Oryctolagus cuniculus: one gene and its partner. The protein of the gene in region 1 purifies or fractionates together with the protein of each later gene. This does not show direct contact. Links are inferred from orthologs where the notes say so. Each region holds a gene or a part of one and is shown in the gene's direction. Other genes may lie near its edges. The genes, in order: SLAMF1 and PTPN11.

What was found.
Region 2: the proteins of SLAMF1 (region 1) and PTPN11 purify together in Homo sapiens (affinity purification with western blotting; 3 studies listed by BioGRID and IntAct, with this or other methods). This does not show direct contact. The link is inferred for Oryctolagus cuniculus from reciprocal best matches to the Homo sapiens genes SLAMF1 and PTPN11.

Annotation. Positions count from the first base shown.
Region 1 is NC_091438.1:38,256,013-38,260,423, forward strand, and holds the start of SLAMF1 (signaling lymphocytic activation molecule), read left to right. Parts: upstream 1-1,519; 5' UTR 1,520-1,662; coding exon 1,663-1,738; intron 1,739-4,411.
Region 2 is NC_091452.1:9,792,757-9,796,566, forward strand, and holds part of PTPN11 (tyrosine-protein phosphatase non-receptor type 11), read left to right. Parts: intron 1-388; coding exon 389-520; intron 521-1,846; coding exon 1,847-2,013; intron 2,014-3,331; coding exon 3,332-3,399; intron 3,400-3,810. UniProt on the Homo sapiens protein: Acts downstream of various receptor and cytoplasmic protein tyrosine kinases to participate in the signal transduction from the cell surface to the nucleus. Positively regulates MAPK signal transduction pathway. Dephosphorylates GAB1, ARHGAP35 and EGFR.

The DNA of each region.
Region 1 (4,411 bases):
GAGCAACCAGGACTAGAACAGGCACCCATATGACAGAGGATTAACCTAGTGTGACATGGCACAGGCTCCAAAATGTCCTTTTTTAAGTTAAAGAAATGTGAGACAATAAAGAAATGTGTTGGAACATCACTTGTTCATTAGTGACACTGACAAATCAGATGACAGTTTTTGAATACTAAGAAAATATTTTCCCTGTTTTTTTTTTTTTTTACATCATCTTCAACATAAGGGCTATAGTCACGGCACATGTTTCCCTGTCACTTTTCACATCTAGACAGTATTATAATAAATGAAAGCTCCGGCTTATATTGTTTACTGATTTCCATGGTATAAATCCCCATGTCTGATTCCAGGCTCCCAACATGATGTCGTTGAATGAAGAGCTGGGAAGAGAGTCGCAGCAGCATCCATGACCTAGTAACTTACTTCCACCACAAAGAGACACTAGCTTTAACAATAGTAACTTCATAAAATAATTAGTAAGTATTGAGTAATTAGAGGGTTTTATTCCCTCCATTTTAAACATAATTTATTCAGTGTAAGTTTGTGTAAATACATGTATCTTAATAATGGCCGTGTTTATCAATCAGCTCACAGTTTCCTGAAAATATAATAATTGGCTTTCATGAGTTGATCTGTACTGGCTCTATCGCAAGATAGAGTGTCGTGCTGTGGGAACCATGGTTGGCTACTGGGTGAAGAAGGAAGGGGAACGGTGAGAATAAAGAGCAAGTTCCCACATATAACCAATTCTTATCACCCTGATCCCCTTGGAGAGGCCAATAGGAGAGTGTCTTTGACCTTTAAGGTGGGTTCCAATTATGCTGACCTGGCCTTCCAAAGCCTCCTTGAGAGCACTGGTGGTAACAGCGTCTTCCCGTGTTCTATTCTCATAGCTCAACTCAGAACAGCACAGGGTCTCCTCCACCAATTCTAGCCATTTCTCTTCAATGAAAAGCCACACATTCCAAAATAAAGGTAACTCCCCAAAGCATGGCACAGGGCTCACTATATTCCAGCACATTGTATCCACAGGGAAACTGGATTTCTGCCAAGAAATCCACACCCCCACCCCCCACCCCACCTCTCTGTGCCTGTGGCACCAGGGCTGGAGTGCAGGCAGAAGTGTTCTCTGAGATTATAGGGCAAATGCATAGGAAGAGTTCTATCAGTTCAATAAAATTCAGTCATCTAAGTTGAGCTTGGAGCTGGCACATTTGAGGCTTGGCTTGACGAAACTCCCTCTTTTCTTTGCACTCTTAGAAGAGTTGTCAGAGGGAACTGCTCAGAGAAGTCATGACATCCATTTCCTGGAGACAGCGAAGGAGAGTAGGAAGGGAGCCCATTTCAACCCCACTCGGGGGTTTGGCCGGGATGACTACACAACCCTTTTCCCGGCTCCAGTAATGTAAGTGCCTGACTCGTACGTGTTTCTTGAGAACAAAAAGTGACTTCAGGCCTGAAGAGAGATGAGCAATCCTCGAGACACAGGCAGAAAAAGTCCCAAGTGAGACAGGAAGCTAGTTCAGGAACCTGCTGGCTGCTGATGTGTAAACTAGACAGCAGAGGCAGCACTGCTGACACGCAGCCCGCTTCTGCTGCCGTGCCTGCGAGCGGCCGCCGGGCTCCCGGCCAGGCCCCCTTCCCTCTCCTCGCTGGCTGATGGATACCAAGGGGTACTTCTCCTGGAGCCTCCTGCTGGTCCTGTCCCTGGCTTTTGGACTGAGCTACGTAGCGGGTGAGTGTTCTTCTGTTTAGGGGTTTGAGTCCCACAGCTAGCTGCTGGGGACCAGCATAGCCTTGTGGATGGAGAGAAGGCATAGGGGCTGGGGACTGTGGGTCAGCTGCCTCTTCCTTAGGGACTGGCTGTGAGTTTTGACTGCCTCTTTAAGGAGGAAGGACCATTATGAGTTCCTGGGCCCTTGGGTTCCCTGCCTTAACCTCATCAACCCTAGTTTCCAAGGAAACCAGGAGCTCCTAGCCAAAGGCATCTGTCACACTCAAAACCAGCCTCTCATCACAAGAGGTTCTCACCGGGGTCCTATCCAAGCGGGTTGATTTTGCATGACTACCCTTCGGCAAGACCCAGGCTTTGGGGGACAGATCCCTAGGATATGATTTGTCTGAATGCTTACATATACAAGCACACAAACCAGAATCTGGCCCAACAAAAAGCAAGGGCTACAGTGAGAAGAAAGGGTAAGAAGTGAAAACCCCAGGCCTTTGGTTGAGAACAAAAACAGTGGCCTCAGTGTGGTCATACTGGTGGCTACTTTCTTGGAAGAGAAGCTTCCAAAGCAACAGAAGGGGGTAATATTGGGATTTCTGAACCCAAGGCTGGTTACAGTATGTGGGAAATGCAAATTGAAAGCCCTCAGGGTCAGAGTGGCTTCAGCAGTAGAGCCAGATGGCAGCTGAAACTTTGGAGCTGGGCTTGTCTGCCTCTCAAGGCAAACTATTTTTTTCTGCTTAGTAGTTTCAGGGCTTGAGATTAAAAAAAAAAAATGCCAAACAAGAAAATAGACATTAGGCTGTTGGCATGAGGAGGAGAAGGATCTCCTGCCTACACCCCTGCGACTTAAGTTAGACTTTGGGAGGCAACCTGGAATAGAGGAGGCATTAGAGAAAGGGGCAGGGGGAAACCCTGAGGCCCAGGGTGTTTTTGGGGTTTTCAAGACCACAGATCCATCATAGACTTTGGCAGGAAAAGCCCCGGGATCTATGAGGGATGCAGGGAAGCCGTGTGTGGGATCTACCTCGTGCCAGTCTCCCAGGTAAAGAGGCCTTTCCATGGCCTCACTCTCTTGCAGAATCAACAAAATCAGAGTTCTTACTTGTGGGATCTAGAAAAGGGACAACTGAACACAGGGCTCAGAAGGCCACACTGGACCACTTAGAGTGATCACAGGGAGAGCCAAGCTTCCCTTGTTGTACCTCATTTGTGACTTAGGTTTTTGGCATGCTTGTGTGTGACTGTAAGGAATGATGGATTGTCCTAGCGGTTGGATTTTCTGTCTCCATGCTTATTTGAATGGTCAAGTCAGTTACACTGGTCAGTCCAGCTCAAGGTATTTCTCATACAGCTTACAGCGGCTCTGGAGGTAGTTGGTGAGGGAGAAATGGCCCAGCCCCAGAAGGCGTGTCTGCTCAATTGGCTGCTGCTCCTTCACTTGTGTTCCATCTTCTGAAATGTATACAAAATTTTTTCAGTCTTTCTCTTCAAATATGCACCCTTTTGTGAAACCCCAATAAAACCCAGACGGAAACACTTTGCAAATGGGACAGGTCAGTCATGACAGATTTACCCAACCAAGGTTTGATTCTTGTAAAATCAGCAACACTCTCCTTTCCATCTCTGCTCAGCTCAACTTCCAATTCCCAGTCAAAATCATAAAAGCCTAAAAATTCACATGTCCCCTTCCCAGCTCCCACCAAGGAAATTTTTCTTAGAAGATTTTATTTTTAGAGCAGGTTTAGGTTGACAGCAAATGTAGCAGAAGGCAGAGGTTTCCTAAAACCCTCTGCCCCACACAGACAGAGCCTCTTCTGTTATCCATACCTCCTACTATGGTGGTACATTTGTTAAACTTGATAAACCCAAAAAAGATTTTTTCCTTTTTCCATGCAGGACTTCCTCATCCTCTTCACATACAGGGGCTAAGAGGTGAGAAGCAAGCATACAGTTCTAGCCTTGACCTGACCTTGTGTGTTTAATGGTCCATTGTATTCCAGGATGTTGATCTAGGTGCTTGTAGTTCCCAAAAGCTTTCCTACTGTGACATCTAAACTAACTCCAGGACTGGAGTGGAAATCAGAACACCAGGACATTTTGGTTTTATCCATAGATGGACTTTGGGTGATATCTTTTAAGCAGCTATCTATTAAGAAAACATGATATGGTAAGCATTGTACAAAGTGTGGAGAAAGCAAATAGAATGATCACAGCCACTGCCTAGCCCCTGGCACAGTTGTTTGTATGTGAAAGTGCATCCAGAAATGTTTGTTGAAAGAAGAATGTTAGTACACATTTCATATTTGCTATGTACCGGGCACTGTTCTAAGTGCTTTGTGTGTATCTGTCATTTACGTCTCACACCAATGCTATGAGATGTATTATCATTATTACCATTACAAATTTATAAAAAAGGGAGGAGAGGTATGGAGTAATTTAACAGTTTCTCCATGCTCATACAACCTGACACCGGAGATCTCAATGAATGAAACTGGAGAACATTATGCCTGGAAAGCGGGGATGATGCTGAAATTTGCATCCAGCTCTCATGGTATAAGTTAGAATATGCGTTCTATAATTGAACTGTGTGAGTTGGATTGAATTACACGGAAGTATAGCATTCTCAAATGGTGAGAAATGTTGATAAAAATTATAGATTGTGGAGAGCATTTAAGAAAT
Region 2 (3,810 bases), on another chromosome or scaffold:
GTGTGTGTGAGGGAGAGAAGTCCTCCATCCCCATTTGACGCCACAAATGCCTGCAACAGTCAAGGCTGGGTCATGCTAAAGCCAGGAACCCGGAACTCAAGTCCGGGTCTCTCACATGGGTGGCAGAGCCCAAGGACTTGAGCTGTAATCTACTGCCTCCCAGCATCAGCCTTCTTGTGTTAGCAGGAAGCTGAATTTCCAGGAAGCAGAGTAGCCAGGGCTGGCACCCAGCTCTGACAGGGGCTGCGCTTGTCCCAGGTCGTGAGTTAACTGTTGAGCCACACGAAGAAGCCAGACGTGCCATTTCCCTGTTAGACTGTTTGCTGCCAGCCTAGGCTTTTGTTGGGAGCTCACGGAGGTTAACTGTCTTTTCTCTGGTCCCTTCCAGAGTAAATGTGTCAAATACTGGCCCGATGAGTATGCTCTAAAAGAATACGGTGTCATGCGTGTTAGGAACGTCAAAGAAAGTGCCGCTCATGACTATACCTTAAGAGAACTTAAACTTTCGAAGGTCGGACAAGTAAGTATATTGTCGTATTTTAGAGGCCGGGGCTCGTGGTGTGCAGTGGTCCAGGGTCCTGCAGCTACGCTTGTGTGCGTGCACTCCTGCCTGGCTTCACACATTGATTAAGTAGCCGTTGTTGGGATACCTTCTGTGTGCCAAGCACAGTCAGGCACTCCTGGTGCATGTGAACGAGACAGGCATGGCTGTGCCCTCCCAGTGCCTGGGGAGAAAGGACATTTAGAGTAAATTGAGCTCCCTGAGTTCAGTCTGTAGGGGCCCAGGGTGGTTGGTGTGTTCCTGAGTGACTGGGGCCTTGAGATGGAGTCCGTGGGGCAGGTCTCTCTCAGAGCTGATGTTCCAGGGTGGCCCCTAAACCAGGCAGCTCCACTGTCAGGGAGTGAGAGACCTGCCCCCAGAGTGGCTGCATGTCCACGCCCTGCACCTTGGAAAACGGTCAACAAGGTCTCTGCCCTAATTCTTCCTTCCTGGGCAGGGTGGAGCTTATGTGATGTTGCATGGCAGTGCTTTAGAGAAAATATAAAATTCTGTACAAAATAGAAACCACATTACCAGGATTCAGGAGAAACCAGCAGTCTTCCATCAGCACCTGCACCCAGGGTGCCAAACTCCTGGGCCAGTGTGCTACTGCAAAGGAGCTACGCGGGGAGGTGGCGGGGGGTGTGGGGGGTGTCCTGACAGCTACTCAGAAACCCGTGGTGATGAGAAGATGGGGCATTTGTCAACAGAACCGAAGATAAGCGTCTCCGGCACCTCGGTCTCTCATTTCTGCTTGGCAGCTACCTTTGTAATTGTCGCTTGCCTTGGGTTGTCCCCAGATATGCAGGGACTGGGTAGCCATGACTAGTGCCACTGCAGTGACCTGGGCTGGGCTGAGCACAGACATAATCCCCCTTGTCTCCTGCAGTCTCGGGGCCTTCGCTGTCTCTGTTTGCGATCCCTGTCCTCAGATCAGCCCTCGGGTGCTGGCCAGTGGCAGTGTGCCGCTGAGCTGTCCGTCCCCACAGTGGTATAGAGAGGCGGCGAGAGAGAGGTGATTCTTCACATTTTGCACATGGAGACATTGAGGCTCAGAGCTGCCCAAGGGCTGGAGTGAGTGTGAATATCTGGGGTTTGAGCCTAAACCTCCCCACCCGACTCCCAAAGTCTGTCTGCTTGGCTTCTTGGCACGGGAGCGCCCTGGAGACTCAAGTGGGCCTTTAGGTGGCGACTGAGCGCCGCTGGGCCCGCCAGCACCGGTGACTTCCGTAGCAGGTGGGAAAGCTCAGAACCGGGCGGCTCCTCCACCCCTTGATTTATTTAATTCGGTTCTGGTTTTTCTTGGCTCTACTCCAGGGGAATACGGAGAGAACGGTCTGGCAATACCACTTTCGGACCTGGCCGGACCACGGCGTGCCCAGCGACCCCGGGGGCGTGCTGGACTTCCTGGAGGAGGTCCACCACAAGCAGGAGAGCATCATGGACGCCGGCCCGGTCGTGGTTCACTGCAGGTGACAGCCCCTGCCCCTCCTGCCGCAGCCTGTGCCTGCCCCCCAGGGCTGCTTTCACCGGCCATCCCTGGCAGTTTACCTGTGCTTAAGGCCTGAACAGGCTGCAGTAGGGATGCTCGCTTCCTACAGACCCTGCAGGACTGCGGGGTCGGGCTGGTGGGCGGGCTGGACACAGCCCTTGTTCTCACCGACGCCCCGTCTAGTGCTTCTGACTACGTTTTCTTTTGAAATCCAGTAATTTAGGGTCCATCTCTTTGTGATTCTGTTCTCTTCCGCTGAGGAAGTAAGAGATGAAGGGTGTTCACCGAGTTAGTGGAAAATGCATGTTCTAAAATGCTGTGTGTAGATTTCACAATTTTTCTTTGCACCCAAGGAAACTTATCTTTTAGCTCCACTTCCCACAAACTTTTTGATGTCCCCTCACGTATTTTCCCCGACCCTGTCCTTGTGCTTATTTGCTTCAAAAGATTCCAACTGCTTCGTGCCGAGGCCTTTGATGGAAGCCGAGCCCTGCACCAGAATGTGCTGGCTGCTGGTATCCAAGTCTGCGCTTCGTGATTGTACTTGGGGAAGTCTGATTTCCTAATCTCATTTGTGTGTTGGACAAGTAGATGTGTGAGAGGACTTACTTGTTCTGTTTTTTAAAAAACTGCCATTTATTGTCCTAACCTCTGAATTAAGTGCTTTTCCTACATTATTATTTTTTAAAAAAAATTATTTATTTGAGAGGCAGAGTTACAGAGTAGCAGAGGCGGAGAGAGAGAGATCTTGCATCTGCTGGTTCACTCCCCAAATGGTTGCAAGGGCGGGAGTTGCGCTGATCTGAAGCCAGGAGCCAGGAACTTCTTCCTCGTCTCCCACATGGGTGCAGGGGCCCAAGGACTTGGACCATCTTCCAGGCCACAGCAGAGAGCTGGATTGGAAGTGGAGCAGCCGGGACTCGAACTGGCACCCATATGGGATGCCGGCACTGCAGGCTCAGTGCTACCTGCTACGCCACAGCGCCGGCCCCCCTCCATTATTATGTCTTATCCTCACCGTAGTCTGTGAAGCATTGCTGTTGTCCCCATTGCACAGGAGGGGACACTGCAGGGCTTGCCTCAGGCACACGGTACTGGAGAAGTTGGGCTTTAAGCCCTGGTTGGCTGATGGCAAAGCTCTGTGTTCGTTGCTAATATATCTTCAGATATAAACATACTATGTTATAAGTACTCCCAAGAGCAGATATTGTTTCTGTTAATATTAATAGCTTGGTTTTTGGGTATAAAACTCCCGTGAGTGATTCCACTCTCCCTGCGTCTTGTCCTTCTGCCCACAGTGCTGGAATCGGCCGGACAGGGACGTTTATTGTGATTGATATCCTTATTGACATCATCAGAGAAAAAGGTAGGTCTCCCGGAGGGCCAGAAGCTGCAGCTCCGGCTGTTAGTTCCTGGAAGGAAGGCGCTGGGGAAGGGAATTCGAATGTGAAAGCGTCTCACGGAAACGGGCTGGCACTTCTGCTTTCAGTTCACGTGAGAACGGAAGTTGTGCTGTGTGAGCTTTTGGCCTCAGATGCAGCCCAGGAGCTGAGGACCCTACTGCCACGGCCTTTGTCGTGAAGGCAGTGGTGGGTTCCTACCCAGCTCCCGAGTGCTGGCTTACAGGACTGGAAAGGGGAGTCGGAATCCTGGTGTCTGACACGTTGCCGTCTTCCTGGGTCGCTGGGGTTGGGCCACAGCCCAGGGGAACGTGCTCAGCTCGCACCTTAGCGAATCTGCCTCCTCTCGCATCTGCTAAGAGCTGGATGTGGACGAG